Neurospora crassa OR74A: one gene and its partners. The protein of the gene in region 4 purifies or fractionates together with the protein of the main gene of each other region. This does not show direct contact. Links are inferred from orthologs where the notes say so. Each region holds a gene or a part of one and is shown on either strand. Other genes may lie near its edges.

Region 1 (4,737 bases), on a different chromosome or scaffold from region 4:
CGGCTCTGGGAGAAGCTAAACTGGAATATGTCCTGATGGAGCTGCGCGGATGGCCAAAAGCAGCAGCGTATCGAGAGACAGGACCCTGAATGTGAGAGAAGCGGGAGGAGGAAGATGGTGCAAAGGGTAAAGTGTCAGGCAGAGGCAGAGTTGAAGATGAGGGGGAGAGCAGCGCATTAGCTCCAAAATCGCTAGCAGCTGCTGCCCCGGCGCATGACGGTGACACCAGAATCGACCCCGTAAGCCCCGTCACTGGAGATAGGCGCCAATAACGGGATTTCTTAGGGCGGCTGCAGGTGGATCGCGGGGCGGCGGAGAAGTCAGTGGTACCAGCTGCAGAGGCGACGAAAGCCGAGGTAGAGCTCCGAGAGTCGGATTCCGTGCCCCACGACAATGTCCATCTTTTGAGCACGTCTTGTCCCGTATGCTCGACTTGAATGCGCCGCCGTGTGTTCAGCGACCCGTGTGCGGACAGGGATGTGAGACAGCTTCCGGCTCGACGCGACTTCCTTGACGTGGAAGACACCCTCTGGATGAAGCTGGAGATGGCCATGCCTACACGACGCAGACTGGTACTGTAGAGCTAGAAGAAGGGTGCAGTGGTCTTTCTGCGTGCGTGCTGTAACAACATCACACTGAACAGCAGCGGACGCAGGCTCGGGGTAAGGGATATTCAGAAGCTCAAGACTTCCGCCCGGCCAAGCTCTCTCGACGCCCCCGGGCACCTCCACGACGGGGTGGGACCAGACGGATTCGGGACCCAGGGGTTTTCTGCGCCGCACAGAAGAGTCACAATGGGTTCCCGCCTAGGTAGACGACGGGGGATCGATGTCGAGGATCCAATGATCGCCGGTTTGCTGGCGGGAATAGAGGTTTCGTGATTTGTGATTTTTTTTTCTTTTTTTTTTCTTTCTTTCCCTTCTCGAGGAGTCACCGAAGGTGAGCGTCTCAAGACGTGCCGCAAATGACCAGTGTAAATGTGACAACAAAACGTGAAGCCAATGAGATAACCTAAATAGAATAGAGCCCAAACCCAAGCTTCTCAAAATAGTACGTATTCACCATGCATTCTTGCAAGAATCCTACCATGTCTCGTTAGAAAAGCCTCTATTTCCGTCTACAAATCTCCGAGAGTTGAAGAACTTTTCCTCCTCGATGCGACCCCCGGAAGAGGGCATTCATATAACTGCAATTGAAGTGGGTGTCTAGATGCTGCATCCATGACTCTACAAGTTCTCGGCTTGCTGCAGGTAGCAGCTCGGATCATGATGTGCTCGCACTGTCCTGTCTGTGTCGTTGTTCTAGATTGAAGTTGGTGTGGCTTGCGGCCGCGGCACAGGCTTGACGAATACAGCTGACTCTTAAACTCTGAGTCACAGACTGAGCCACAACTTCTTATCGGTGGCTGTCGACGGGCCGGCAGGCTGCGAGCGGCGGATCGAGGTGGCAGGCTGCATCGCAAGGTCCAGAGTCCGGTCCGAACTGAAACCAGCAGCTTCAATGGATGGCACACGGCTGGCTGGGACGAGGGACTGGAGAGGGGCAGCTTGGCATCTGCAGGGATAGGTGTTGGTTCGCCCCGCGGCCGTCAGAATCCGCCAGAGCCAGCCAGCCTATCGCGCACAATCTGCGGAAAAATTACTGGGAGTGGAAATCCACCCAAAGAAAGAACACCAAAGACCGATCCGACGACGACGACCGCATCTACAAAGACACTAATCCACCCACCTACCTCCCAAGTCGTGCAACCCCCCCCCGCGATATTTCTCGACGACGAATCCACTCAGTGTCTTCTAACGACCATAACACTTCCATACCGCCGTCCACGCCTCGTCATATTTAATAACCCACAATCAAGATGAGGCCCATTCTTCTTTCGGGCCACGAACGTGCCCTCACCCAGATCAAGTTCGTCTTCCCTCCGCATCATCATCGCATACCTTACCCGCCGACCCGACCCCTCTTGGTGTTCTGGCTTTGGCATGTCGGGCATATAGAGATGCAGCCTCTAACAGCAACCCTTTACCCCCAACAGGTACAACCGCGACGGTGATTTGCTCTTCTCAGTTTCCAAGGACCAGCAGATTTGCGTTTGGTTCGCGCACAACGGCGAGCGTCTCGGTACATACCACGGCCACCAGGGCGCCATCTGGACCATTGATGTCGACCCCACATCCACCATCCTCGCCTCTGGTTCTGCCGACAACACCATCCGCCTTTGGGAGATCAAGACCGGCAGACTTCTTAAGACATGGGACTTCCCTACCGCCGTCAAGCGCGTTGAGTTCAGTGAGGATGGCAGCAAGCTTCTGGGTGTGACGGAGAAGCGCATGGGTCATCTGGGTACCATCGTTGTCCTCGACATCAAGCTCGATGTTGACGCCGAGCAGAGCGATGAGAAGGCCATGACTATCGTTTGCGAGGACAGCAAGGCCACTGTTGCTGGCTGGAGTTATCTCAGCAAGTACATCATTGCCGGCCACGAAGACGGCTCCGTCTCCCAGTTCGACGGCAAGAACGGCGACCTCCTCTACAACATCCCCATCCACGAGCTCAACCAGCCCATCACCGATCTCCAGTGGTCGCACGACCGTACATACTTCATTACCGCCTCCAAGGACAAGACCTCCAAGGTATGTCACATGGCTCCACAACCCCCCCCCCCCCCCTTTTTTTTTTCTTTCTTTGGTCTTCTTCCCGGATCCTTAAAACCGAAATCAATGAACAGTCAATCGCATGCTAACACTCCTTGATTATTTTCACAGCTCATCACAGCTAAGGACCTGGAGGTCCTCAAGACCTACCCCGCCGACACCCCTCTTAACAGCGCTACCATCACTCGCAAGAAGGACTTCGTCATTCTCGGTGGTGGTCAGGCTGCCATGGATGTCACCACCACCTCCGCGCGTCAGGGTAAATTCGAGGCGCGTTTCTACCACAAGATCTTCGAGAGCGAAATTGGTCGTGTGCGCGGTCACTTCGGTCCCCTCAACACGGTTGCCGCCGACCCGACCGGCAAGAGCTACGCCAGCGGTGGTGAGGACGGTTACGTCCGTATCCATCACTTCGACAAGGGTTACTTTGACTTTATGTACGAGGTCGAGAGGGAGAGGCAAAACAAGCTCAACCAGCAACAACAGCAGACCATTTCTGCCTAAACGGATCCCTTCTATCGACATCGATCGAAACTTTCGGACTTTCAGCAAGCAGGATCCGAGGAGGGGCGGCAGAAAGGGGCGGAAAGGCGATTCGCGGGACGAAATATGGGTGTCGTGTTATTGAGTTCAGGATTCTCTCGACTTGTCGGAGGAAGGAAATGAGCAAACGGGTTATTTTACATCGCGCGTCCAGGGATCCAACAATTTGGGGGAAATGGGCATTTCACAAACGGCGTTTTTTTCAGGCAACCTAATCTGAGAATTTGGGCGATTCCACCCAATATTTGGTGAAAAAAAAAGTGAAAAGGAGCAAAAATTGGAGCGATGAGGTGGTGCGGTTCGATGTGAAGCAAACGAACGAACAAGTGAGTCGCGCGGAGAGCGGATATGTAATTTCCATCTTGTCACGAAAGGAACCTTTGGTCCCTATCGAAGCACAGAAGAGTCATTTGTCATAGTTGAATTCGGTCGTTCTTCTGCTTACTATCTTGCGCAACCTCGTTCATGTGATATCAGATTGGACGTTATAAGTAGAGGTCTTTCGCCAATTGCTTACTCACTCCCTTATGGTCAATAAGAATCCAACACAAGTGGAAACAATAATACAGGGGTAAAGGAAGTACAAGACTGCGCACATCATGCCCTATTCATCCATCAGAGAACGGATTTGACCAAAAGGATATCTTTTGTTCCTCAGGTAGGCAGAGAAATCCCTCGCTAAATGACGGCAGGTGAGATAACCATCACCGAGACCGCAACATGAATACGACACAACGGAAACGCCGCGAGCCAACTGCATTAACCCTCCCTGGACTCTTCTCAGTGGTGAACCGAGCCCCTTCACCCAATCTAACCCAGTCATATGAAACGCAACTACAGCTTCGAATACCAAGCCAAGTCAATACATGTGCCGTAGCTTGTATTTTTGGTCTGGACCACCATCAGGCGGTCTACTTCTTCTTTCCCTTGGGGGCAGCCTTGCCCTTTGTCGCCTTCGATTCCGTCGACGCCACGCTTGACGCGCGCGAAGGGGCAGCCGAGGTGGCTTTGCTACCGGACGCTGACTTGACGTTGTCTAGCGCTTTGTTCTGTTACGCGGGTAAATTCAAGTTAGTACGAACATCTCCAAAGTGAGAAAAGCAGGGGATGGTTTACCTTGACACCATTAGCCTTGGTCTTCTTCTTGGCAGGAGCCAGGCCCAAAACACTGTCTTCGTCATTGTCTTCATCATTCGCTTCACGCTTGAGCTTGCCATTGACCCCGTTCACCTTGGCCTTGGTGGTGTTGCTAGGCTCGTCCTCAAACTCTTTGACGATCGTCGTCAGCAGAGTGTTGCAGCGACGGCTGATCTCAATGGGAGTACGGCTAAGGAAGAACCAATCGAAGCGAAAAAGAGGGCTCTCGCGGATCTCATCCCGGATCTTCTCGTAGATGCCCTCGGAATCGACGCCATACTTGTCCAGCATCACCAGAAGGAATCTGTCCTCCTCCTCCGTATAGACCTTCTTGTTAGTCGTCGAGACAGTGTAGTTGATCTTCAGTTGCTGCAATGGCACACGGTACTGGCTCATCTTCTTG
Region 2 (4,930 bases), on a different chromosome or scaffold from region 4:
TCTCCCATCTAAGTGATCCCTCCAGCTCCAGCTCCAACGCGCCGAACGTTGCTATACCTCACGCAAGCGGACGACCCTAGCGCGCACCAACAGAGTCGAAAGCAGCCGCTCATTTCAAGCAGGCGCGGAGCCACTTAAGGTTGGCGGTGGAGCTGAGCTAGGGGTGGGTTAGAAGAGTGCCGTATACATGATGAGAGGAGTCGGAGGAAAGACGGGGGATTGGGAAGAGGAAAAAAGGCGGAGGGAGGAGAAAGGTATGGGGGGTTAGGGAAAGGGAGGAAGAGGAGGGTGGAACATGCCTGAAAGAGGTGAATGGAAGCGAGAATGACGATGAGGAGGAGAAGGAAAGGCAGGAAGGGAATGATACTGATGGAGAGAGTGATCATGACCGAAGGAGGAGGAGGAGGGGAAAGGCAAGAAGGTCTAGGGATGAGAAGGTGTAGGGGTTATGATGGGCGGGAGGCTATTGTTCTTGTGTGTTCATGGTGTTGTTGCTGAGGTTTCTTTGCGCCGAATGTCCCCCCCCCCCCCCCTTTTTTTTTTTTTTCATTTCATTCTCGAGTGATATTTGTTTCTTATTTCTCTTATAGGCAACCAGCCATTTTTCTTTGTCGACATCTTCCAAGACTTCATGATTTATGAGGGCAGGGCGGAGGGATGAACGACTTTTACGGTGATGAGATGAATGAGACAGGAAGATGAAGAGGATGAAGGGACGTGCCGGCTGCTTTGAGAGAGCTCAGGAACTTACGGTCTTTGCGATTGGTCGGTTGAGTTGATGATAGGACATCATAACAGATTCTGTCACCAAGTAATATAATGTTTGATGCCAGGGACGTTCAGCGGGATAGATAAATGCACTGATAATAATTCAAGAGTTCAGAGAGGCTGTCAGCTGTTTTAAACACTGGCATGCGCCCTGAATCGACAAGAAGACCACACTGTATTCTGAAGAGCTTCGGTGCGTTTTGGGCTCCTGTAGTCCGGGCATGTTGCCAGTCTATTACACCGATCTTGTTCAACCTGGAGTTAGCCCGTCATCCATGTAACAAAAGTCAACTATAACCACCTGGCCACCCTGGCCCGATATGCTTAAAAGGCGGAAGAAATCTCTCGATCATGACAAATTTTGCCGCTTGTTCCCCATTAGTATGAACCCCCACAGCAAGAAGAGACAGGAACCAGATCAAGTAATAGTAGTATCAAAGAGTCCTTTCCCATTTTGATGACGCACTTCCTTGTGCAGACCGCATTAGGGACCAAAACATCGCTGCTTCTTCCATCATTCCTCTAACCCCTTCCTCCCTCTCCTCCGCCTCCTCGTCCGTCTAGAAGACCCATTAAGTTTACGCAGCCTTCTTCGCGAACTCAACCCTAAGGATCAAATGTCTGAAACCGAAACCGTCCATCTTGGCGCAAGCCTTGACAGCGTCGCTGCGATCAGCGAAACTGATGAAGGCGAAGCCCTTGGCAAGACCCGTATCGCGATCCTTGGCAAGGAAGACACGAGTGACGCGACCGAACCGCTCGAACATATCGCGAAGCTCTTGTTCCTCGGCCATCTCGGAGACCTAAGCGTAGAAAACATGTTAGCACGAATCAGTCCCGTCATAATAACCCCTCTTTAGGAGCAGAACAGAGCAGCTTTTGCAAGTCTGTCGCCTACTCCCTCTTTCCCTTTTCCTTCTGCTTCTTCTTCTTCTCCACCACCACCACCACCTCCTCCTCCTCCTCCTCCTCCGCGTCCTTTTGGGGGACACTAGGGGCAAACGTACGTTGGTAACTCTGAGAGTGGCGAGATCGTCGCGCTCGCCGTACTTGCCGCCCATCCTCTCTCCAGCAGCCGCGGCCCCACCGGCACCACGCAGCGCAGGTGGCACGTACGAGCCCTTCTTGCCCGCGCCCGCCGCACCCTGGGAAGCGGCAGCAGCCTCGTCAGCAGCACTGGCGGCGACGTCGGCGGCAGCGCCGGCCTCGCCGATGGGGGCCATGGTGTCCTTGTAGGGACAGCGGGCGGTGAAATGCTCGCCGTTGCAAATACGGCACTTGACCTTCTTGTCCTTCAACTTGTCCTTCATGGCCTGGGCGTTGGGGTCCTTGCTCTCATCCTTGGCTTCCTGGCGCCAGTTGAAGGAAGGCTTGAAGATGATGTTCTCGCCGACCGAGGTGGTGTCGGGGGCCGGGCCGGCGCCGTCCTTGACGCTAAGGCCGAACTTGGTCCACGACTTGCGCTCAGCGACGCGGGGGTTGACGACCTCACGGTGGGTGATGTAGCGGATGCGTCGTGTGGTCTTGACCTTCTGGCCGTTGTCGTTCAGGCGGTACTCGATGATGGTCGTGCTGCCATCCTTGTTGGTGATCTTCTGAGGGGGCGGGAGTTCGGTGGAGGTCTCCTCGAGCTCGTCATCGTCGGCCCAGTCGTGCCTGAATGGTCGCGAACTATGTTAGACTCTTACTCTCCGAGAAATCAAATGCATACGTGTTGGGTTGTGAAGCACGCCGGAAAAATGGCAATCGGGGGAATCGGGGGCGTGGATGCAGACGGGCGTTTGCTGTCGAGGCAAGCGGAGGAGTACTGACTTCTGTTGAACGGCAGCCATCTTGACAGTATGTGGTTGTTTTGATTCCGCAGGTTCGGCTCGTCTGGTGATGGGTGCGGTGGATGACTGAAATGGCCGTGGGTTGTCGTCGCGATGGGTTGACGTTGCGCTGGTTTGGCGGCGATTTTTGGTGGGGCTCAAGTTTGAAAAGCCAGGGCAGTTTTCCCCCCCATTTTTTGGAGGTGGGAATTTTTGGATATTTGAGTGTGGGGCAAAAATTGTCTTGCTGACTCGGCTTTCACTCAGGAAATCAGCCCTGTTTGGCAGCTAACGGTGCTCTATCCTACGTACAATATCAAGGCAGCAGATTCGCACATGACAGCCAATACGGCTCCCTACAAACGAAGCTTCGTTCTTTGACAAAGCAGGACTGGTCGCATCCAGACGTATACGTTGAGGTGTTTTGCCCCTTCTTTCATTATCCGCTTTGGGTTGCTTCCACTTCGCATCCATTAGTGGGGGCATCACAGGCATCACAACCCTAACCCGAACGTTGCTCCTCCAGGCCTACCAGGGGCAGGGCGCGGCGCCGCAACATGGAGCTAGCTCAACTCTCTCGACACCAGGACGTGTTGTACATAGTAGGTACCTTTGTTTGCAAGTTGATGGCTGGCACCGAGGTTAAAGTTTGAGAGTTTGAACTCGATTCAGATTTCTCCAAGCATCCATATCTGATGCTCTAAACTCACTGCTATCTAAGTTGGCCACGGAGCCTGCCGGGCACCAGCTTTCTTCTGACTCTGTGACCCCCCTCCTCCGATTGAGAATCGAAAACCACCCCGCCCTTCATGCCCACCACACTCACCTCCTCAATTAATCACCTACATACACAGTAGGTACCCCAACATTACATAATACAAGGTATATGGCAAAAAAAGACAAATCCCGCACCAAATCGACCTGACAAAGGAGATCGTTCACACGTTACGTTCCGGATGTCGCCGGTGGTATAAATGTACCCTCATCACCTGGGTATCCAGTATCTTGCTTCCTGCATCCTTATTCCATCCATCTAACCGGTATCTTGTTTTTCGACTGAACCCGACCTTGAAAAAAGAGAGACAAAGGAAATGGTGACGGAGTCAATCAGCGGTTCGATGGCGGTTTATCTCTATCAGTTGAATCCCCAGGCGCCCTTTGCTCTGCAAGTATTGTCGCTGACAGATACTCGGAAACTTCAGTGGTCGTGCTTCCTAGACGTCCAGAAATGGCGATGCGTTGAATGATGGTATGGCGCCAGATACGAGTAAATGCAAATCACAGCTCAAGGTGAATATGCTGAGTGACAGACTTGAAGTGACGATTTTCTCGGGATTGGAGGAAGGGCACGATTCGGCGGGGGAGCAGGTGGGGGACCTTCCGCCAGCTGTGTCTTATTCCGTCGCGAACCCAAGCCGCCGTTGGCAACCGACAAAGACCTAAAATGGGGCGCGGGTCTCGAGCCCTGCTTCGAAAGTGAAGTTGAAGATATCTGGGGAAGGTCGCCGAGATCGTCACCGAGGTCACTCAGATCAAGGAAACTGCGATCAGGTTCGCTTGACCTTTCTGACAGCTGAGACTGCAGACTAAATCTTCTATCGGCGCGCTTCGATGGGCTACCTGGGTAATCGCCGACGGACGGAGTGGATCTGAGCATGTCTTGGAAAGCCACTGATGATGGAGGAGCATAGCCTGACCTCTTTTCAGGGCTACCATGTGTGACAGGTTGTGTGGGAGAGAGATTCTCCCAGTCCTCGCCGCTGTCACAACGTTGCTTGGTTGCGTCCGGCAATCCCCAAGACGAGAAAAGGGACTCCGGTTCCGGTGCTGTCTCATCAGCTACTTCGATTGAAACACCTTTCCTATCAAGCGACGGCGATTCAGGCGACGGTTGATCCACCACAAAAGAGAGCGGGCGTGAGTTGAGGCACAGAGCCGAGGGCGGGGGTCTCCGTGAACCGCCGCGCATCTGACAAGGTAGCGGAGGAGGTGGAGAAGATGGTTCAACTTCCTCTTCCGGGAGGGATTTTGTTGACCTAGTGAGCGAATAACGCTGGCTGGATCGTTTGCTAGAGCTCGAAGGGCTGCTGGGATCGAAATTCCACGTGCTCAAACTCGAGAGGGGATGAGAGGCGGCGAGACGCATTTCGAGGAGATGATTCGACGTCTGCAGAGACTGTCTTCTGTCACTGATCGCTGCTGCATTCGGTCTTGGTCGCGGTCGGGGTTGGTCATCAAGGGCGGTGAGCTCTGGAATGGAGTCCTGAAGGTTTGCAAAAGAGTCGTGAATAGGCGAACATGCTGGTGATGACCCAGCTGACGTGAGGGCTGTACGCTGCCCGGACGACAGA
Region 3 (5,074 bases), on a different chromosome or scaffold from region 4:
CGTCACCACCAAGACGAGTTCGGTTCTCCCTCGGCCTGGAAGAAGTTCTCCCGACTACGGATTGATGGGCTGAAGATTGACCACTTGAACCGCGGTGTAGAAGGACCGTTTGGCTGGATTTACGAAGGCAACGTCGATATGATTGCCGACATCATGTTCCCTGCGGATCCTGAGGAGGGTCTAAGCAAGGTTGTCGCCGAGTTTTACGACAAAATGGAAGAAGCCGTAACCAGCAACCGCTACCTCAAGATTCTAGACGGCAACATTTCTCCCAACAGCCGAAGCAACACCAACAGCCCCACCCTCGAAAGCGGGCCAATTCCGGAATCTGCCTCTGACATCGACCTCACCGGCCACCACGACGAGCTCCCCACCTCGGAGCAGCACTTCCCCCCCTTGATCCCTCCCGCGACTCCCAAAGAGCCAGCCCCGATTGAAGAAACTCCCTCCTATCTAGTCATGGACCTTCGCATCCACCTCAACGACGTCCGCGCCGCTGTCCCTCTGTTCAACAACCCACACATGAGCTACGTGAACCAAGCCCTAGTACGGCCCATCGTCGCCTACATCAACGCCAAGCGCACCTACATCCCCATCAGTTGCCGGATCGTAAAGCGGCTGACGGACTTTGACGGAGCTTGGACCGTTTGGGACTGTGGGCTGATGGACGATATGAGCGCCGAGGTGTACCGTGCTTTTGCCAGAAACGTAGAGGATCAGCAAAGTAGGGTGAGGAGATTCAAGCGCGTGGGACTGTGGACGGTCAGTCTCGTGGTACATGCGTTGCTGGCTGGCGTGGCGGGAGACTTGATGTGAGCCGTCATTGGATATGACACTGACGATTATAGACTTTTGCCTGTATTTTATCAGGCGGGTAGAGGAAAAGTCTTGTTTTGTGACGATATGGGGTTGTGTTGTACTATCCTTTTTTCTCTCTCTCTTCTCTACTTTACTTTACCGTGAGGGGGTTACCATACCTTTCCAAGCGGTATTTCACTGTACTATACATACATCAAACATACTTATATGGCTCTGAAAAACAGGAGCTCGAAGGAACAGACAGGCAGGCAGGCAGGCAGGCAGGTTATGGTTATGAACAGGAGGGAGGGGATTTGAAACTGGTTTACGCTCTTAATGACCCGGACGGATCGAATTACTGGCTGGAATCATATGAATGCGGGAGGCGAGGTGTTTTGTGTGCCCTGGTTTTGTTGTCAGTGATGATGGTTGCTCAGGGCAGATCAACATCGCGATCGGAGTTTTAAGTGTTTTGATTAGGGTACAGCAACATTGTCTGAAAAGTTCACATGGTGTTCATGGTCGGGAAATATCACCTGTTCACTGGTGTAAGTTTCTGAGAGGGTTCTGAGATGGTGACTGAAATAGTGTTGGTTGTAATTTTAGCCATGGCATCGATAAGAGAACCTCACACCAGGATGATATGCAGCCTGGACTTTCGAAACGTGATGCTCGCCTTCATTATTGAATGCACTCTAAATCTACTTTCCCCCATGCTATATGGTATCTGCTGCCTTTTCCCGTCACCCCCAAGTCGCGACTCGATCAGTGCCCCAAGAGGCCATCCTCCTTTTTTCGTCCAGTCTGGCACTGATGACGACTCTGATCCCTCATGCATCCATCCAAGACATCATGCCACTGAACCTTACGTCCGGACGGCGGACGTGCCGTGACCGTTGCGCGGGTGTCGTGGTAGTCTACGCTTTCTTTTTACGCCATGAAACACACGCAACCGCTACTTTTTTGCTTCGCTCCGAATGCTTCCCGGGTGAGATGAGTATTATACCTGGTGAAGGGGATGATTCTACATCCCTTGATGGGAAGAGGGACTCGAGGCCTCTCTTCCTCACAAAGCGAACGATTGTGATTTATCGGTAGAAATCTTTCACATGAAGTCATCACTAGAGCGAAACGTTAGCAATCGTTCCCCACGCGTATCTTTTCTCACTCCACCTCAAGCCAACTTACTCTCCGAAAGCATCATCATCATAAGTGTCGTGGGCCTCAGCAATGGCACCACCACGACCAACACCAGCGAGCGAGGTCTTTGTCTTGGCAGCCTTGCTCTTCTTGCCACCCTTTTCGGCAGCCTTCTCCTCCTTGAGCTTCTCGTTGCTGAGAGCAGTCAAGGTGCTAGCAATCTTCTTGATCTCGTCGCTCTTGAGGTCCTTGGCGAGCTGCTTGGAGAACTCCTGGAGGAAGAGGGTGTAGTGCGGCTTGGGCGAGAGCTTGCCGATCATGGGGCCAAGAGTGGTGCGGAGGGTCTCAAACTGGGTCTTGGTGGTAGGGTTGAACAAGGCCAAGGTCGAGATGTCGATGGTGTTGTTGGGGTCCTTGGGGTCGATCTGGACAATGGTGCCCTTGCTGACGACCTTGCGGTCGTTGCTGATGCCGATGCCGGCAAACAGGTCCTCAGCGTGTTTAAGATCGGACTCCTTCTGCTCGCGGCGGAGGCGCTCGCGGCGCTCGGCCTCGGTCTCCTCCTCCGCGTCCGAATCCTCAGCCAGCTGGCGGGCGCGCTCGGCCTGACGCTCGGCGATGCGCTGCGCCTTGGACTTCTTGTTGGCGGCGGCTTCGGCCTCAGCCTTGGCCTTGGCCTCGGCGGCCTTCTTCGCCTTCTCGCGCTCTACCTCGGAGTCCTCGGCGGCATCCCACGAGTCGAGAACGTCGCTCTCGTTTCCCTCCTCATCGTCGAAGCGGCGGCGGCCGGGGGCAAGGACAGGCGAGTTGGGGGCGGAAGACTCCTCCTCTTCCTCGTCTGTGGTGATGAGGGGTTAGTTAGTCTGGGTTTCGAACAGGTTGTGGTGGCGCAACAGGAAAGTCGATGCAAGAGTTGGTTCTGGTTGATCTGTATATATAGGCTGCGTCGCTGAAGTCCAATTCGCCTCAAACATGGAAGCCTCGAGGCATATGGCAATGTTAACAGCGTCTATCGCAAGCCGGCGCAGGCATCAGGCAGCCTTGTCACGGCGATCGCGGCCGCCCACTTTCGCCGACATACACTGTTCGCGGGGTTCGTCTTGCGCAAAGAGGGAAAAGGCAAGGAGAGCGAGGAAGACTTACCCCACTTCTTTCCAGACATGTTTGCGATTTGGTAGTGACGATCTAGAAAACCGAACGGGTCTTTGCGACAACGATGTCTGGCGCGACGAGGAAAAGTTTGCGTGCTGTGGTTGGTTGTGTCCAAACTGCAAAAGAGAAGCCGATCGCAGTCTTGAGAAGTTGAAAAAGCGAGCAGGGGTCAGCCACCTTGAGTGTGGTTCCGTTCGCAGTGGGCAAAATAACTAGGTATTGTTAGCGGGGTTAGAAGACCAACAGTGAAACAGCAACAGCGTTTCACAGGTTCTTCAAGGTTCTTTAACGTCTAAGATTTTAATACAATGCCAAAACTGCCAGGGAAAAGGGCTTTGTGACCAATTGGATTTCATTGAGAAGATGCCCGATGAAGATGAGGAGGAAAACCAGAACCTCCAGACGCCTGGGGCGGCTAGTCTTCAATACACAGGAATCGTCCCCATTTATTCCTCCCGTTTATGTTTTACCAAGCACCTGACTTCCTCGTACGTCTTGCTTGCTACCATCCCTTCTGAATAACCACTTCCTTCCCATCTTTGGTATATATCAATGCCTTCCCTCCAGAAGGCTTTATGCGGGGTCAGTGCTGTGTCGCACGGGCCCGTCAGTCAGGGTCGGTGCTGAGTCCTGACAAAAACCATCAGTTCGCCAACATGCCCGTCTTTATTTCCCTTTTTCTTTTCTTTTCGTTCTCTTATCTTTTAGGACATCTTGTATATGCACGATGCATGCACCATATATGTACGGCCTCGGTCAAGCAGCATGTGCTAGGTGCAGCAGGCCTAGAAGGATGGCTTTTTGGAGAAGTCTGTTAACGCATGTGGAGAGAATGATTCATAAACAACTAGGTGGATGCTAAAGCTCTGCTCTTTCACCAAATGTTCTGGACCAGGAGTCACCCGAAAATGCCCTGCGTCGTCAATATTTTGTACACCACTTCCACCCCGCTTCCGACACGGGATAATATTTGGACACTTGCAATTGTTCCTTCGATCCTACACTCTACGAATAACTACCACTGACGTCACAGCAAAGTTAGAAGTTTAACATGAAGCCATTCGCAACTTATGGCCCAAGACATTTGTTTGTATATTTGCAGGTTCGGAAGCAACCAAGCCATTGCTCAGTCATGCTGTGTGTCCTATGAGAACAAGTGCGACTGGTGTTCCGTTTCCCTCCGCTCGCTATTACTGTCAGCAAAATCTCCAACACATAACTCGCCCAAGTGCCCTGTCAACCAACCAACCAACTATCAATGATCTCGAAATCTCCTGTGGCTGTCTTTGTGTTGAGTCACAATCCCCCAGTCTTAGTGTACTTGCTCAGGGGCTCGCTGTTCTTCTGGATATGTACAAGGCTAATCCCGAGAATGTTGCGGAAGTGGAACTGCGCCCTATGGCTTGTCACCCGGGAGGTCCCGACACCGCCAAACAACGACATCCAGCTGACCACCACAATCGATGCCCGGTTGCCACTTTGAGGATTCAAAATGAAATTTTGTCCTGGTTGAAGATCTGGAGCTTTCCGGGTTCCTTTCGCTAGCGCCCGCTATTTGCTTGTTCCTGGATTGTCTTGATGTTAAAAAATGGAGATTGCTTGGGCAGTGTCGGAACTCTATTGCTCCTTTGAGACCAGGGACGGACAAACTCGGTGTTTTCAGTCAGCTCTCGTATTCCAAATTTTTCCCTGAAAGGAGTTGCAACTGGGGGCAGGAAAGGACGATATAAACGTCCCGTGTCTAGTGCTGTCCGACACATATGGACCATCATCACAAACCTCAAGCGAGTTCCATTACAACTTCACATCACTCCCTAAACTCTCGATGAACACCCCCAAAGTAAACATACTCCACGCTCCAGGACAAGCGGCCCAACTAAGCCGTGCCCTGATATCAACCTGCCATACTCGGCCTCTCCTGCTCGCGGGCTCTCGAGTGGCCACTTCCTTACATCCAACACAGACGAACCTCTCTTCCCCATCA
Region 4 (5,043 bases):
TCCACAGAGCTTTAACCACGGACCGCATTACCCAGAGCACCACCAGTGAACTGTGTACCACCGGCCTGCCGTTGAGGGTTGCCGCCCGTCCTCGCGCCACCTCTGCCACCACGCTGGCCACCACCACGCTGGCCACCGCCACGGTTGTCCTTCCTGGAGAAGGCGTTGGCGGAGCCCTGTGTCTTCTGCTCGAGCGTACGCTCGTTGGTCTCAATAAGGGAGCTGGCCTTGTCGGAGAGAGTGAGAGCCAAGCTCTGGAGACGGCTGAGCTCAACACCCTTGCGGAAGATGACGGTCTCGGTGACCTGGTCAAGAGCAGCCGCGAGCTCCTCGTGGCTGATCATCTTGCTGACGACAGCAGAGACCTTGCGAGAGTCGAGCTCAAACATGGAGCTGAGGGTAGCAATGGCGAGAGTGTCGTAGAAAGGAGCATAGGTGAAGAGGTAGGTACGGAGACCCTCCTCCTGGATCTGCTTGGCGAGCATGGTCTTGATACCCTCGGTGTTCGGCATCAAGTCCCAGATCTTGATGCTGTGAATGAAGTCGGTGGCCTTCTTCCACTCACCAGCAGCAAGGGCCTTGGAGGCCTGCATGACGTGATCCCTGGTGTTCTCCGGAGGCCCGGTAAAGATCTGGCGTTCATGGTACTCGAGCATACGGCGGTAGGTCTTGCTGATGATCCTCTTCTTGACATCGGGCGAAGAACCGGTTTGGGCGAGCAGAGGAATCTCGAGGAGCATGCTGCAGGTAAGGTAGACGCACTCAAGGAGCTCGAGGTTGATGTGCATGTGGAAGGGAAGCTGGCGCTGCTTCTCGAGGCGCTCCTGCTCAGGGGTGACCTGGCTGTAACGCTGGATCATGACGCCCTGAGCAAGAAGCTCCTTTTGACGGCCACTGCCGCAGATCTCCTGGAGGGTGTTCTGGGCGTCGTAGACGAGACCCTTGCGGAAAGCGCAAAGGCCGACCTGAACGAGGGTGCGGTTGTAGAGAATCTGGGTGGCGATGTCGAAGTTGGCGATAGTCTCCTGAAGATGGGAAGTGAGCATCAGGTCGCGAGACTTGTAGTACTCATCGTGCAGAGCCAAGAAGTAGATCTGGCAAAGCATGGCACGGGCGCGGATGATGCCCTCGCTGTTCTCGAACAGGTAGTTAGAAAGGATGTTGATGAGCTTGCCAGCATCGCCGGATTGGCTGCGGGGGGTAATTTCAGAATCGGCCTCAGCAGAAACCTGCTTCCACGCGTTCTCCTCGAGGATCTTGACGACTTGGGCGGGCTGAAAGAAGATGATTAGCAAAGACGGCTGAGTATTCCAGCATTAGCTCTATACATACCTTGTAGTAAACATGGTCCAGACGCCTCTGGATGATGCGGTTCAAGCTCTCCTGGGGAACCTCGAGGGAAGCATCCTTGCGGAGGTGCTCGTAGTAAAGAAGACCACGGAAGATGGTGTTGTAAAGAGAGCCCTCATCGGTTAGCCTGTCGATGTACTCAGAGGTGTGAGGATCGATGGCTTGGAGGGAGCGGGTGAGCTCGTCATCGAGACGCTCAATGAGCGAGACAACGCTGCCGGGAACCTTGAGGTACTTCTCACCCTCGGGGATGGTGGGGAGCTTGTCATCATCATCCCACTCCTCAGCGCCCTCAACAACAACATGGTCCTTCTCCTTCTCGAGGATCTCCAAGAGAGAGGCAAGGTCACGCTCAGCGGCCTTCCACTGGTCCAAAGGCATCTGGGCGGCGCCACCAGCACCAAGATCGAAGCGGGCAGAAATAAGGGTCTGGAGGACACGGATCTTCTGGTAAGGGGTAATGGGGACGACCTTGTTGAGGGTCTCCATAACCTTGATCTGCTCGAGGCGGTCGGTGTTCTTCTTGCCGCGAGACTCGATAATGGCGCGGAGGTGCTTGAGGATGCTCTCGGGGGTGTACTGAACAACCTTGCCGCGCGAATCGACCGTAGAGAAGCCCTTGTCGTCCTCTTCCTGCTGCTCAGCACTGACGACGGGAGCCTCGAACCGGACCTTGGAAACAACCTTGGGCGCGGCAACCTCATCATCCGACTCCATGAAAGCGTCCGCATCCTTCCTGTAGGCATCGATCTGGGTCTGGTACTCCTTATTGTTCTTGCGGATGCGCTGCTTGACGGCGTTGAGACCACGGGCATTTGTCGCGTTCATCTTCTTGGGAGTGACCTTTTGCTTGGCGAGAGTCTCGTTCATGAAGTCCTCAAGATCGGCAATGGCCTTGATGTAGGACTTGGGCGCCTTGCTGCCATCTTGGAGCTTGACGACCTGACGGTTGAGCTTGTCGAATTCTAAAGCGGGGAGGGGAGTAAGTATCGGTGCAGGACATATCGAGGGTGTATGCATGCATGAAAGATATACGAACCGTTGGCGATAAGACTCCAGTCGTTGATCTTCTGGCCGTTCTGGATCTGGCTGATGGTGGACTCGAGTTCGTCGAAGCGCTTGTCCTTGGCGCTCTTGACCTTGGTGGTGGCTTCATCGTCGCTCTGCTCTTCCTCCTCCTCCTCGGACTCGTCGTCGCTCTGCAAGAAACGGGAGGCACCCTTCTTCTTGGTTCCTTCTTCCTCGTCGCTGCTGGACTCCTCGTCGCTCTCCTCCTCGTCAGACTCCTCCTCAGACGAAGACTCGTCCTCGGCCTGAACCTTCTCCTCCTCCTCCTCCGAAGTGTAGACCTCCTCCTCCTCGGAGCTGCTGTCGGTGGAGCTGTCGTCACCGCCGCGGAAGAAACGAGACATGGTTGCGGTCTCTTTCGATAGACTCGGAATAAATATGCGGGTTCCGGGGGTATGGGCGCGATGCAGAAGTCCGGGTTACCGGTATGGGTACTTGGAGTGGTGGACGGAAGTGGTGATGGTCCGGATGGTTGGCAAAGCAAAACCCGGCTGCGGCGAGGCGGACAGAGGGGTCAAAGAATTAATTTTCACTGAAAGGCCGTTTTGGTGGGGGCGATTTGGGGCTTAGCGAATCGAGCGGAGCTGTTTGGGCCTCGAGCGCTGTAATGATTGGGTATGACTTAATCCGAGCAAGGGGTGTGGGGGGAGAGGATACTTGCTCCGCGGGGGGGAGGCTGAACTTATGAGCTGAATGTACCTGCTTCCGCTTGGAGATCGCAGGACGGGATTCCTAGAAGATGAAGATAAGGTCTGAACCTTGCAGATGTTCGCATGAGGGATCTGTCAGAGGAACGGGTTTTTGTGTATACTTTGGCGAGCGGAGCGAGGGAACAATATCAAGCATTGCTTTGTCAGGCCTTCACTATGAGATTCAACACCTGTCGTCTGGGTACTTGGGCGCAAACAGCCAGCCAGCTGATGCCCCACCTTCAATGTATCAGCTACCTGAACTGATAATGTATCACTATACTCGGTTACATGCATCTGAGACGTGCTGTGAGCTTGTCAAGCCAGATCTACCACGTAACGGGGATTGCGTATCGAAAGTTACAGTACGTAACAGGAGACGTTTCGCCACGAAGTCGAGAAGTGACAGCCCAGCCTGCCCAGTCGCTGCAGGCAACCAACCCCAGGCCCTCTTTCACTAACTGGAGTGGCGGGGACGCTACCGGGCTGCAGCTGCCAACAAGCACCTGCACAGCGAAGAATCCCGCTGCCAGGTTTCCCGTTTTGCGCGCCAGGACCTGGACCGCCCGCCCTGACCTCTGAACTTTATCGACCGCCCACGCAGCTGTCGCGAGGCTGTTCAAGTTTTTCGTAACGAGGCCAACCTGCCAACGTCAACGCCAGCATCCTGGCGCCACCAAACCACACTTTCACGAATACAACATCCACCTCTCCATTCTCAGCTTGATCGACCATCGCCGCGATTTGGTGCGAGGTCGACCTACGCCCATTTCCATCTAAAACCAATGGGAATCTAATATTTGCCAGTCCTTTTTTCTCTTCCTCAGCGAGACAGGCCTTGGAACGACGCACGCGGACTGCAAACCGCCATCGCGCGGACAGGCGACTTCACGGTATCCAGCCTTCTATCCATCTCGTCGCCAACGCCGACTGGTACACGCTTCTGACGAAGACGATTACAACGAAACAACCACATAAACGTCAACAAAGCTTCATCAAGCAGAAATCGAAAAAATGTCCTATCCGCCACCACCACCTCCTCCCCCCGGCTGGGGCGCTCCTCCGCCGCCATCAGCACCTCCGCCGCCGCCGCCTCCGTCCTCTCTCCCACCTCCTCCTGCCCTCCCAGCACCGCCGCCGCCTGGGTTCTTTCCACCAACCGACCCTCATGTTGCCAAGTTCGCCCAGAAGAAGAAGGAATGGCTTCGCATGCAGAGAAATCGCTTCGGCGAGAAGAGGAAGGGCGGATTTGTTGAGACGGAAAAGGCCGACATGCCACCAGAGCACTTGCGGAAGATCGTCAAGGATATTGGGGATGTTTCGCAGAAAAAGTACACCAGTGACAAGCGCAGCTATCTTGGGGCGCTCAAGTTCATGCCCCATGCTGTGCTGAAGCTGCTCGAGAACATGCCCATGCCTTGGGAGGCTGCCAGAGAGGTCAAGGTTCTCTATCACGTCAACGGCTGTCTGACCCTTGTGAATGAGATCCCGAGAGTCATTGAGCCCGTCTTCTTTGCACAGTGGGCCAGTATGTGGACGGTAATGCGCAAGGAAAAGAGCGACCGCCGGCTATTCAAGCGCATGCGATTTCCACCTTTCGACGACGAAGAACCGCCCCTGTCCTGGTCCGAGAACATCGAGGACGTCGAGCCACTTGAACCCATTCAGATGGAGTTGGATGAGGACGAAGAAGCAGCAATCTATGAGTGGTTCTATGACCACAAGCCGCTTCTCGACACGCCCCACGTCAACGGGCCCAGTTACAAGAAGTGGAATCTCACCCTGCCGCAAATGGCGAGTTTATACCGTCTAAGCCGACCGTTGGTGTCTGAGGTTGTCGACAAGAACTACTACTACCTCTTTGAGCTCAAGAGTTTCCTCACAGCAAAGGCCCTGAATGCGGCTTTACCAGGCGGGCCTCGCTTCGAGCCACTTT
Region 5 (5,083 bases), on a different chromosome or scaffold from region 4:
TGCTTGCTCGGCGGCAAGAGAAGCGCGATACCACAACTTGAATGGATGCAGTTCATATATGTGTATGTGTACAAAAACAATTCAGATATTCCCACTTGAAATTCAATATGTATTCATCAACTAGTCAGGTCAATCGCCTCTCTTGCAAACCTCCCCTTAATCCATTCTTTGTGCTTTGGTCCCCTCAAAACAACCACTTGGTTCTGAGAGTTCCGGCGGCAGTCGCCCTGCTTGACCCGTTGCCCCTCAATCTACAAAAAGTTCCAATCCAGGTTGGTGGTTTCCCCCCGTCCGCTGTTGTAGTCAACCCTCAAGCAAGGGTTTCACCAAAACCAAAAAGACAGCGCAAACTTTCTCACAAAACATGTGACGGAGGGGTATATCTCTCTCTTTTCGTAGGACCAGGCAACAGGGAACTGACTGCCGCCGCCGGGGTTAATCATTCGGCGCGTCGTCCTCAGAGGAAGAGGAAGAGACAGTTTCGAGATCAGAACCAGAACCGCCGCCGCCGCTACCGCTACCATCCCCGGCGCCGCAATGAATGGAGGAACTGCCATTTTCTTTTTGGACGCCTAGAACGCCGGAATCCGATGCATCATCATAACAACGACGGGGGCGTTTAGTATTGTTGCCTCTGCCGCTAGTCTTATTATTCTTGGGAAGAACATCATTGGAGACACCGTCTTTAACTGCTCTTCTCGGGATCGTCCAAGAAGAACTATAGGGGAAAGCAATGTTAGTATGAGGTCGCAGGATGGGAGAACTTTTCCAAATTGAAACAGAAACAAAACTTACGTAGTTGCCACTGAGCTTCTGCTCCTGGTCAAGCTGAGAGTTCAGCTTGTTGATGCGAGGGCGATAGTTGGTAGGATCACGGCGGAAAGTGACATCAAGGTTCTTCAAAAAGGTGTTGCAGCCAGTAAGCAAAGACTCGGGCTTGTTGGCGTGAGCGTCGATACCAGGCTTGCCATCAAAGACAATAACACGGTCGGCAAGGTAAGTGGCCATGATGAAATCGTGCTCGACGATGAAGGCAGTCTTCTTGGCGTGCATAATGAAACGCTTGATAACACGGGAGGCAATGATACGTTGCTCGGAGTCGAGATCTGGAAGACGGTTAGAAATGCATCTTAAGGGGGTGGGAAAGAGGTTCACGTACAGGCAGAAGGCTCATCGATGAGGTAGATATCAGCAGGAATACCGAGAGCAAGAACAATGGCAACTCTTTGCAGTTCACCACCGGACAGATGCTTGACTTCCTGGTCAATGAAATCATCAAGCTTCAGAGGCTTGACGACGTCAGTCTGGAACTGAGGAGACAAGAAAGCAGCCTTGATCTTCTTGAAGAACAGCTGGCGAACGGTACCCTCGAACTTGGGAGTGATGGTCTGGGGCTTCATGGAGATCTTCATCTCGGGAACCCTCTTGGTGCCGTCAGGCTTAAGAACACCGGCCAAAAGACGGCAGAAGGTGGTCTTTCCAGTACCGTTCTCACCCATCATGACGATAATCTCGGAATCAGAGAAAGAACCGGCGTCGATGGACAGGTGGAAGTTGCCCATGGTCTTCTCCATGGCAGGGTACTTGAAGGCGCGCGACTTTTCCTGGATGAACTCCTCAGTGCCTTCGGCAATGCGGAAGGTCAAGCTCTCGTCACGGAAACGCAAGTTCTCAGTAGGGATGTGACCATCGAGGAAAATGTTGATGCCTTCACGGACGGAGTGAGGGAGGGTGACGACACCGTATACGGCGGGCTGACCGTAAAGACAGCAGACGTAATCGGAGAGGTAGTCGAGGACAGACAAATCGTGCTCGACGACAATGACGTAGTCGTCGGGCCGGAGGAGAGAGCGAATGATGCGGGCGGCACTCAATCTTTGCTTGACATCGAGATACGAGGAAGGCTCGTCGAACATGTAGACATCGGCCTTCTGAACGCAAACGGTACCGATGGCGAAACGCTGGAGCTCACCACCGGAAAGGAGGGTAACATCACGGTCGTAGATGTGGCGCAACTCTATTCAAGATCAGCCAGGGCGTCCAAATAAGCAAATCACAAAGCGCAAAGCATGTGGAACCTACCAAGGGTGTCGAGAACCTCGTCAAGGTTATCGAGAGAGCGGCGGCCCTCAATCAGGAACTTGACGCTCTTGTCGGGGGTGCGGATGGCCTTGGGGATCTGGTCGACGTACTGGGGCTTGACAACAGCCTTCAGGTCATCCTCGAGCAGCTTGGTGAAGTAGTCTGCGATTTGTCAATCCTCTGATCTCCTTCCAAGGTGAGCCGTATTCCTTACTCTGCAACTCAGAACCGCGGAAGTACTTGATGACGTCCTCCCAGTCAGGCGGGTTGTCGTACCTGCCCAGGTTGGGCTTAAGCTTTCCGGAGAGAATCTTGAGCGCGGTACTCTTGCCGATACCGTTCGTTCCGACAAGACCCAAGACGTTGCCGGGACGGGGCATGGGAAGACGGTGGAGCTTGAAGCTGTTGGCGGCATAGCGATGGGTGATCTGGCTCTCGAGGTTGGTGGGCAGGTTGATAATGGTGATGGCGCCGAAGGGGCAGCGCTTGGGGCAGATACCACAACCAATGCACAGCTGTTCGGAGATGAAGGCGATGCGCGACTCGGGAGACACCTAGATATCGGATGTCAGGAGGGTGTTGTCGCGCAAAACACGGGGATCGCAAGGGGTCCGGAGAGATCTTACCTCGATCTGTTAGAGAGCAGTTAGCTGTTTGGTCTTGTTACCGCACGAGGACTATGGAGAAGAGGGAAGCTTACACAGAGTTTACCGGAGCGCACAACAGGGCATGACTTCTTGCATTCCTGGCGACACTTCTTGGGCTTGCACTTGTCGCTACTAACGATAGCGATACTACAGATACGAAACAGGCGAGGTCAGCAAGGTGGAAGCCAGACAGCGCATACAGCCAGACCAGCACAAGCCAGTATCGGCCGATGCTTCTACAAGCAGAGCACACACGCGTGCGGCCTTGGGATCGTAAACGCACCGAGTGAGTTTGTCCGACATCTTGTCTGTGATTTCGCTCTGCGGACTGATCGAGATGGGTGACTGTGGGCGGACCGCTATCCTAGGCGCAAAGCGGGAAATGGGGGAGGGGGAGAAATTCTCAAGATGCCGCACGTCTCGGAATACTACGAGCAGAGTGGAGAGGGCCAAACAAGGCGGAGGAGGCTGACACTCTTAAGTTTCTCCAGAGGCAACGTGGGTCGACGCCTGGGTTGTGGACAATGTCAGTTCCCTCGTCTCAAAAAATGTCGAGACCGCTGCACCGTGCGCCGAGTCTGGTGGCAGGGCGGATCGTAAAAAAAAAAGACCCCGCTTGCCCTGATGTGAAGTAAGGTAGGTCGTCGGGCTTCCTACTTAGGTACCTCTAGCCCCGCAACGCTATGTACCAACATGGTAGCAGGGTTGGAGCTACAAAAGAGGTGTAAGCTGAAATGTGCCACGGTTGATAGGTTACCTCTTAAAGGTACCAACTTTACCTTGGTATCTAATGCCAGGTGAAAGCCCACTGTTCCTGTTTCGCTGTCATTGCTTGCCTTAGGTGCCCCGTGTGCACTTTTTGTAGGTATGTAACGACCCTCCATATAAGTAGTAGGTACCTAAATTCCATCTCCCCAGTCGGGCTGAACTCTCAGTCCACCCCATGATTTCTGTCTCAGAATTCCATAACATGACAGGAGCTTCTACTATCCTATCATTGCGGTTGCACCAAGTATCTAGCTGATGTTCACGCAAGTGGTCGTCCACATTGGGTTCCACTTTTACTATTGTTCCTCTGTCCTTTGTTCTGTTTCCGCTTCCCATTGATCTCCCCTTCATTTCAGGACAACTTCTGCCCAAAGATTCTTACAGTGACCCAAGTGGCATCGTGGAGAGTTGGTTAATCATGGGCGTGTACTTAATGTCTTGCTGAAGTCAGTTTGTGCTCATTATCAGCCAAAACAGATCCGAGATCTGCTGAACACAGCCTTACATCGCCTATTTTCCCGAATACATGGTCATCGCTTCCAATGGACGACTATAATGCGGATGATGATGACTAGACAGTTTCATTGATATTGCCACTTTCTCTGTCCAGGTGATGATAGTTTCCTCCGTGGATGAACAGATCCGACCCATCCTTCACAAGTGAGCGTTAATATCTAGTACTCCCTCGGCTAAAGATAATGCGTCAATGGCAGCGTATTGTTTGTTTGGAGGGGAGTACTTGTATGGCCGACGACATCAAGCTTGATCATGACGCTCGGTAGGAGGATGTGCATAGTTACCTAGTTAGGGTTGACAACTAGAAGCGCTCGGACTCCTCCCACAACCGTATCGTTTAAGGAAATCACTCGCAGCATCACGGATGCCGTCAACGATCACGATGCAGAGAGGCGCAGGGTTACTGACATCAAACCGGACTTCCGAACAGAGCTCTGGCTGCCTGTCGACATATGTTTCCTGCGCCCCGGCCGGGCAGTGACTCACAACCAATCTACTCTGATAGCAGTCTATTCCACATGTTGTCGAGGCAGAAATGACATCGGCATCAAGACGTTGAAGATAGTTGCCGACAGAGGTCAATGTTGGCAGTCAAGGAAGGCTGGTGGCCCCAGCAGCACGGGATCGTGTGGATCCATCGTCCTGGACGGATCTGCTCCAGCTGCGCCAGGGAAGCGGTGCCTCTACCATACCCACTTGGACATACTCATAATCTGAAGGGAGTTTAGGACTGGTATTTCTTTGGTCGGATAGGCATGAGACGAGGATAAAATCTTTGATTAGGTATATCTGTTTCTCTTTGACACTTTTGGAGGCTCTCGGATTACGTTTGTGGAATGGGTTAAATAGAGGTGGCCCCGCACAATCACCTACAAGATGTTGTCGTCCTGACTGCCTGCCTGGGTTTGCCTGCGTCGGCTCGCAGTAGGTTCTCTTCGAGCCGGAGCTCCAGTGGCGGGAAATCATCCAAATCACCTTGGTGCCGGTGCTCGCGGTGTACCAAGTTGAAGTGAAGCACCAGGAGAGACCAGTGCATGGCTGGCACCTGCACCGGAGCTGACAAAGAAAAC
Region 6 (4,860 bases), on a different chromosome or scaffold from region 4:
CGTCCTCGAGATCGTCCTCGTCGTCGTCGGGGCCGACGACAAGCAGACGGGAACCGGCAATGGCACCCTCGAGGCCGGGGGCAGAGATCTTGACACCCAAAGCGGCCTTGACTTCCTTATTGTGAACGTACTGCGACTTGAGGCGCAGTTCCCTGAGCGGCGCGGGCGTGAGCAGGGCTCTGATATTGGTTTTGATGACGCCTTCTGTACCACATAGGATAATGCGGTCACCTTCCCTGAGGATACCGTTGGTGAGAATGACATCGATGGTCATACCGAAACCCTCGATGGCCTTGACTTCGAGAACGGTAGCCTGGACCTCGGAGAGGTACATGAGAGAGCCAACCATGCGCTCCTGGGTAAGCTGGACAATGAGCTTCAACATGTCGGGGATACCCTCGCCGGTGTGGGCAGAGGTGGGGACCAAGGAGACGTATTTGGCCATGGACTTGTTCTGGTAGAAGAGCTCCGAGTTGAAACCCTGCTCGGCGAAGGCGAGCTTGGTCTGCTCGAGACGGTTCTTGAACTCGTTCTGGACAGCCTTGTTCTGGAGGGCCAACGACTCCTGGAAGCCGTTGTTCTCGATCTTCTTCCAGCCGTAAAGACGATCGATCTTGTTGAGAGCGACGATGAAGGGCGTCTTCCTCTCACGGAGCAGTCTCATGGACTCGAGAGTCTGGGGTTCGAGACCGTGCATGATATCGACAACCAAGATGGCGATGTTGCAGAGCGAAGAACCACGCGAACGCAAGTTGGAGAAAGACTCGTGACCGGGGGTATCGATGATAAGAAGACCGGGAACCTTGAACTCGAACTTGCCGTCCCTGTTGACGACGTGCGTCTTCTGCTTGATGGCCTCAACGGGGAAGTAAGTGGCACCAATCTGCTGAGTGATACCACCGGCTTCACCCTCCTGGACGTTGGTCTGACGAATCTTGTCGAGCAGCTTCGTCTTACCAGTATCGACGTGACCAAGAATACAGCAAATAGGCGAGCGGAGGTTGTCCGCAGACCTGGCAGCCAGAGCGGCCTGGTGAGCCTTCTCGCGGCGCTCGGCAGCCTCCTTCTTCCTCCGGGCCTCCTCCAGTTCCCTGGCGGTAGCCTCCTCGTCTTCAGAAGATTCCTCTTCAGATTCCTCCTCAGACTCGGACTCGGACTCGGACTCCTCCTTCTTGGCCTGAGTCTTGCCGTTGGCCGCGGCGGGCTTAGAAGCCTCCTTCTTGGTCTCTTCCTTCTTGGTCTCCTCCTCCTCGTCGGAGTCGGCGTCCCAGCTGTCCTTGACATCCTCCTTGTCAGAGGCAACAGCGGCCTCCCAGTCCTCGTCGACGCTGTCCTCAGCGGCGGCCTTGGCGGCCTCAGCCTTGGCAGCAGCCTCCTTCTCGGCCTTCTCGCGCTCGATGCGGGCCTTCTCCTCTTGCTCCTTGACCAGAGCCTCAGCGGCGAGTCTTGCGCGCTCAGCGGCCTCGGCGAGAGCCTTTTCCTCGTCCTTCTGTAGCAAGTAGACACTGGTTAGCGCCGTCCATAGTATACCGTAATTGTAGCAAGAATCCCGGACAGACTCACCTTCTTGTTAGCAGCCCTCTTCTTCTTGTCGTCGTAGACAGGCTTCTTCTTGGACTCTTCACCCTCGAGCGCGTTGACCTTGATACCGGCCGCCAACATCTGCTGCAGCTTCCTCTCGTTGCGGGCCTTCTCCTCCTTCTGGGCCTTGGTCATGAACTTGCCCTCCTTCTTGAGCTGCTCGATCCTCTGCTTCTCCTTCTCCTTCTTGCGGGCGCGCTCCTCCTCCTTGCGCTTGGCCTCCTCGGCAGCGGCGCGCTCCTCCTCCTCTATCCTGGCCTTCTCCTCGGCGAGGAGCCTAGCCTCCTCCTCTTGGCGACGGCGCAGCTCCTCCTGCTGCTTCTGGAGGGCGAGCAGGTGGGCGGGGAGCTTCTTCTTCTTGCCACCGGCGGCGGCTTCGGGGGCGGGAGTGGAAGCGGGGGTCGAGACGGGGCTGGGGGTTTCGGCCTTCTTCTCCTCCTTTGCGGGCTCGGCCTTGGCGGCGGCGGCGGGTGTGGTGCCCTTCTTCTTAGCAGCAGCCTGTTTAGTGAAAAGAAGTTGTTGTTAGTCTTCCGTTTGTGTCTGATGTATGTATAGTCATTAGTGGGTAATAGTGATAATGACTGGGTACTCACCTGCTCCTTCTTGCGCTGCTTCTCACGCTCCTTCTTGAGCTTCTCCTTCTCGGCCTTGGTCAACACCCTAGGGCCATCCTCATCGGCAGCATCCTCGTCCTTCTTGGCGGCGGCGGCGGGAGCAGCCTTCTGTTGCTGCTGCTGCTGCTTGCCCTTGCCACCCTTGCCCTTCTTCTCGGGGAGAGCGAACTCGTCGTCGAGGTTGGCCTCCTCGGCGACCTTGGCCGACAGATCGGGGACGGGCTCGGCGGCAGCGGGCTTCTCGGCGCCGGGAGCGTCTTCGCCCAGCTCAGCCTCCCAGTCGTCGGCAAGACCCTTCTTCTTGCGCTTCTCCTTGGCCTTGCGCATTCTCTCCATCAGACCGCCACCACCGGAAGCGGCCTCGTCGTCGGCGGCAGCGGGAGAGGCGGCAGCAGCATCGGCGCCGTTGTTGTTGACGGGGGCGATGGACTCGCCCAGCTCGGCCTCCCAGTCATCGTTGGCCTTCTTGTTTCCCTTCTTCTTGGGCGCCATGTTGGGCTAACTGGACTGTTGGTAGTCGACCGGGGAATACCTTGAGGCGGGGATGTCGTCGGTAGGATGGGCGGGGGAGAGGATCCTGATGGGCTCTCCTTCTCTCCTTGTGACGAAAGTCGAAGTCCGGGTGAAGACCTCGTTGCTCGCTAGGTGGTTCTGGTGGTGGGTTCGTGGGGCGGCCGACTGGGGCTACTGGGCCGTTATATGCGATATGGCTGGCTGCTAAAGAAGGCAGGCGGCGTACTTTTTTTGGTGCTGTAGGTCCCCCCTTGTCGACGGGATAGGGCTTGTCACTTGTATCACTTTTCGGTGGTGGTGCTGCAGAGTGGATCGATGGTACTGTAGGTACTTGGCACCGTGGATCTTTTTTTTTTCTTTCGTTGTTCTTTGTATCGAATCCCGCTCTGGTTTGTTGCTACACTATATAGAGGTCAGGTACGTACCTATCTCAGTACCTGTACTTACACCGTCTGCCTATGCGCTTTCTTTCAACCCGTATAAAGTGTTTGGTATTGTCTCCGTCTACGGTCAAAAAACGGCAATCATGTCCCGTTCTCTAACTCAATCCCAAGTAGTCGAAGTCGCAAAGTCAAAGGAGTCTCGATTCAGCAGAAAAATCCAGACAAGGATCGCCACTCCAAACTTTTTTTTTTACTTGTGCCGGAGCCAGGAGGTGTCGCTTTGACCAAGCCCTTGACTTGACACTGCACAGACTGTTGGAGACAGCAGTCAAGACAAATACAGTACAGTACAGTGCAGTGGTGAAAAAGAAGTGGAAGCTCCTGCACTCCCGCGTACAAGTACAGTGACCGACTCGTTGGTGCAGAATGCGGGGCACCTGCTTGTTAAGGCACAAGTGGGGCACTTGCTGGGCTAATTTCTGTATTTACTTTCTACCACTTTGGTGTATTTTGTGCGATATTCCATCCAAGGGGGCAGGCCAACTCCCTCACCTTGTCATAATGGGTATTTCATTAACCAGATGTTGCTAGTGATATTCTTTATTCGCTTTTCTATTATGCTGTAGCTACACCACCAAGGCATTCATCAGGACGGCTTGTAGGCCGACACTGGATCACACGTCCGTTTATTACCAGTGTATCTTGCCCTTCCCCCCCCCCCCCCCCCCCGCCTTAGAATTCCAAGCACTTAGTAAACTTGCCTAAGATAATACATCAACACGTTATACGCCAGTTCAAAATACTGGTCCGCAGTGCCCTCGCCCATCCACTCAGCAGTATGTTTGCCTCCATCCAACTTATCCAACAGGCTCTTGAACCGCGCCAACAGCTCCTCCGTGTTGATCAGCTCTTGCAAGACTTCCGCATCCAAGAGTGTCTTCAGCACATCACCATCCACATGCGACGGCTCAGTGGGACCCAGGTTCGGCTCCGCGTGCAGCAGCCTTTCCTCGTCTCTCTTCCCCCTGAGGTTATACAAGTTGACAATGAATCGCAACAGACGCAATGCGTGCTGATCAAGCAGCGTAAAGTGATACATGGTGCCGTCCATGGCTATTCCCAACATCTCGGCATCGTTCGGTGTGCTAATGAGCCGGCCGTACTTGGGTGCGTTCCAGGCTCCTTGCTCCCACGTTGGCCGTGTCCTGCCGCGCCGGAACTTCCTGATACTGACAGGAAGCGTCCCCTCGAAGAGCACCCTGAACTCAGCCCAGTTATGGGTTCCTGGTGTTCTGGACCATTGCCAAAGACCGCCCACGCCACGGTCTTTATCTGCCACCAGGAATACATTGCTTCCAATTTGCATCGACGACGTTGGTACAACATTGCGAGGATCGTGGAACTCGAGTGTTGCAGAGTTCTCAATGACGTCGTCAAGCGCCGGGTCGATCATCTGGAGTGAACCGTCCCACGTCAGGGCAAGAATCTTAGTCCCGGAGATGTGAAGCTCCAGAGCCAACGAGCCCAAGTCACATAATTTGCGTGGCTTCAGCTTTTTCTCGACAGGGTCCAGCACATCCCAGTGGACTATCTGGTCGACACAATAGATCACGCTCTCCTCATGTCCTATTACTGAGTAGACCGGTCCATCGCAGTTTTTCTTAAATCGCGTCCAGTATTTTATCGAAGGTGGGTGGTCCCCGTTCGATGGCTCCTTTTCCGTCGACACAATAATGAGCTGGCCTTGTTTGGTACCAACAAGGAGATAG

The links.
Region 1: the proteins of NCU07831 (region 4) and NCU03876 purify together in Saccharomyces cerevisiae (affinity purification with western blotting; 10 studies listed by BioGRID, with this or other methods). This does not show direct contact. The link is inferred for Neurospora crassa OR74A from reciprocal best matches to the Saccharomyces cerevisiae genes NIP1 and TIF34.
Region 2: the proteins of NCU07831 (region 4) and NCU08046 purify together in Saccharomyces cerevisiae (affinity purification with mass spectrometry; 7 studies listed by BioGRID, with this or other methods). This does not show direct contact. The link is inferred for Neurospora crassa OR74A from reciprocal best matches to the Saccharomyces cerevisiae genes NIP1 and TIF35.
Region 3: the proteins of NCU07831 (region 4) and NCU07954 purify together in Saccharomyces cerevisiae (affinity purification with mass spectrometry; 6 studies listed by BioGRID, with this or other methods). This does not show direct contact. The link is inferred for Neurospora crassa OR74A from reciprocal best matches to the Saccharomyces cerevisiae genes NIP1 and HCR1.
Region 5: the proteins of NCU07831 (region 4) and NCU03061 purify together in Saccharomyces cerevisiae (affinity purification with western blotting; 4 studies listed by BioGRID, with this or other methods). This does not show direct contact. The link is inferred for Neurospora crassa OR74A from reciprocal best matches to the Saccharomyces cerevisiae genes NIP1 and RLI1.
Region 6: the proteins of NCU07831 (region 4) and NCU05270 purify together in Saccharomyces cerevisiae (affinity purification with mass spectrometry; 4 studies listed by BioGRID). This does not show direct contact. The link is inferred for Neurospora crassa OR74A from reciprocal best matches to the Saccharomyces cerevisiae genes NIP1 and FUN12.

Annotation. Positions count from the first base shown.
Region 1 is NC_026506.1:1,994,440-1,999,176, reverse strand, and holds NCU03876 (eukaryotic translation initiation factor 3 subunit 2), read left to right. Parts: upstream 1-1,596; 5' UTR 1,597-1,858; coding exon 1,859-1,908; intron 1,909-2,035; coding exon 2,036-2,633; intron 2,634-2,765; coding exon 2,766-3,158; 3' UTR 3,159-3,641; downstream 3,642-4,737. Other genes in the region: NCU03877 (C-1-tetrahydrofolate synthase), read right to left, coding at 1-553; crf4-1 (chromatin remodelling complex ATPase chain ISW1), read right to left, coding at 4,109-4,246, 4,314-4,737. UniProt on the Saccharomyces cerevisiae protein: Component of the eukaryotic translation initiation factor 3 (eIF-3) complex, which is involved in protein synthesis of a specialized repertoire of mRNAs and, together with other initiation factors, stimulates binding of mRNA and methionyl-tRNAi to the 40S ribosome.
Region 2 is NC_026504.1:4,018,082-4,023,011, forward strand, and holds NCU08046 (eukaryotic translation initiation factor 3), read right to left. Parts: upstream 2,988-4,930; 5' UTR 2,918-2,987; coding exon 2,892-2,917; intron 2,836-2,891; coding exon 2,581-2,835; intron 2,425-2,580; coding exon 1,776-2,424; intron 1,572-1,775; coding exon 1,347-1,571; 3' UTR 833-1,346; downstream 1-832. Other genes in the region: NCU08047 (hypothetical protein), read right to left, coding at 3,865-4,930. UniProt on the Saccharomyces cerevisiae protein: RNA-binding component of the eukaryotic translation initiation factor 3 (eIF-3) complex, which is involved in protein synthesis of a specialized repertoire of mRNAs and, together with other initiation factors, stimulates binding of mRNA and methionyl-tRNAi to the 40S ribosome.
Region 3 is NC_026504.1:1,230,598-1,235,671, forward strand, and holds the start of NCU07954 (hypothetical protein), read right to left. Parts: upstream 3,345-5,074; 5' UTR 3,101-3,344; coding exon 3,082-3,100; intron 2,777-3,081; coding exon 1,987-2,776; intron 1,920-1,986; coding exon 1,904-1,919; 3' UTR 817-1,903; coding exon of another isoform or gene 1-816. Other genes in the region: pod-1 (mitochondrion biogenesis protein), read left to right, coding at 1-816; aod-1 (alternative oxidase), read left to right, coding at 4,916-5,074. UniProt on the Saccharomyces cerevisiae protein: Component of the eukaryotic translation initiation factor 3 (eIF-3) complex, which is involved in protein synthesis of a specialized repertoire of mRNAs and, together with other initiation factors, stimulates binding of mRNA and methionyl-tRNAi to the 40S ribosome.
Region 4 is NC_026503.1:1,003,447-1,008,489, forward strand, and holds the start of NCU07831 (eukaryotic translation initiation factor 3), read right to left. Parts: upstream 3,070-5,043; 5' UTR 2,763-3,069; coding exon 2,390-2,762; intron 2,316-2,389; coding exon 1,333-2,315; intron 1,275-1,332; coding exon 12-1,274; 3' UTR 1-11. Other genes in the region: NCU07832 (pre-mRNA processing splicing factor 8), read left to right, coding at 4,122-5,043. UniProt on the Saccharomyces cerevisiae protein: Component of the eukaryotic translation initiation factor 3 (eIF-3) complex, which is involved in protein synthesis of a specialized repertoire of mRNAs and, together with other initiation factors, stimulates binding of mRNA and methionyl-tRNAi to the 40S ribosome.
Region 5 is NC_026501.1:4,384,975-4,390,057, reverse strand, and holds the start of NCU03061 (translation initiation factor RLI1), read right to left. Parts: upstream 3,317-5,083; 5' UTR 3,033-3,316; coding exon 3,013-3,032; intron 2,877-3,012; coding exon 2,783-2,876; intron 2,715-2,782; coding exon 2,709-2,714; intron 2,637-2,708; coding exon 2,297-2,636; intron 2,245-2,296; coding exon 2,083-2,244; intron 2,018-2,082; coding exon 1,160-2,017; intron 1,107-1,159; coding exon 796-1,106; intron 719-795; coding exon 686-718; 3' UTR 1-685. UniProt on the Saccharomyces cerevisiae protein: Component of the multifactor complex (MFC) involved in translation initiation. Required for the binding of MFC to the 40S ribosome. Required for the processing and nuclear export of the 60S and 40S ribosomal subunits.
Region 6 is NC_026504.1:5,513,790-5,518,649, reverse strand, and holds the start of NCU05270 (mitochondrial translation initiation factor IF-2), read right to left. Parts: upstream 2,976-4,860; 5' UTR 2,688-2,975; coding exon 2,175-2,687; intron 2,080-2,174; coding exon 1,564-2,079; intron 1,490-1,563; coding exon 1-1,489. Other genes in the region: NCU05271 (hypothetical protein), read right to left, coding at 3,840-4,860. UniProt on the Saccharomyces cerevisiae protein: Plays a role in translation initiation. Translational GTPase that catalyzes the joining of the 40S and 60S subunits to form the 80S initiation complex with the initiator methionine-tRNA in the P-site base paired to the start codon.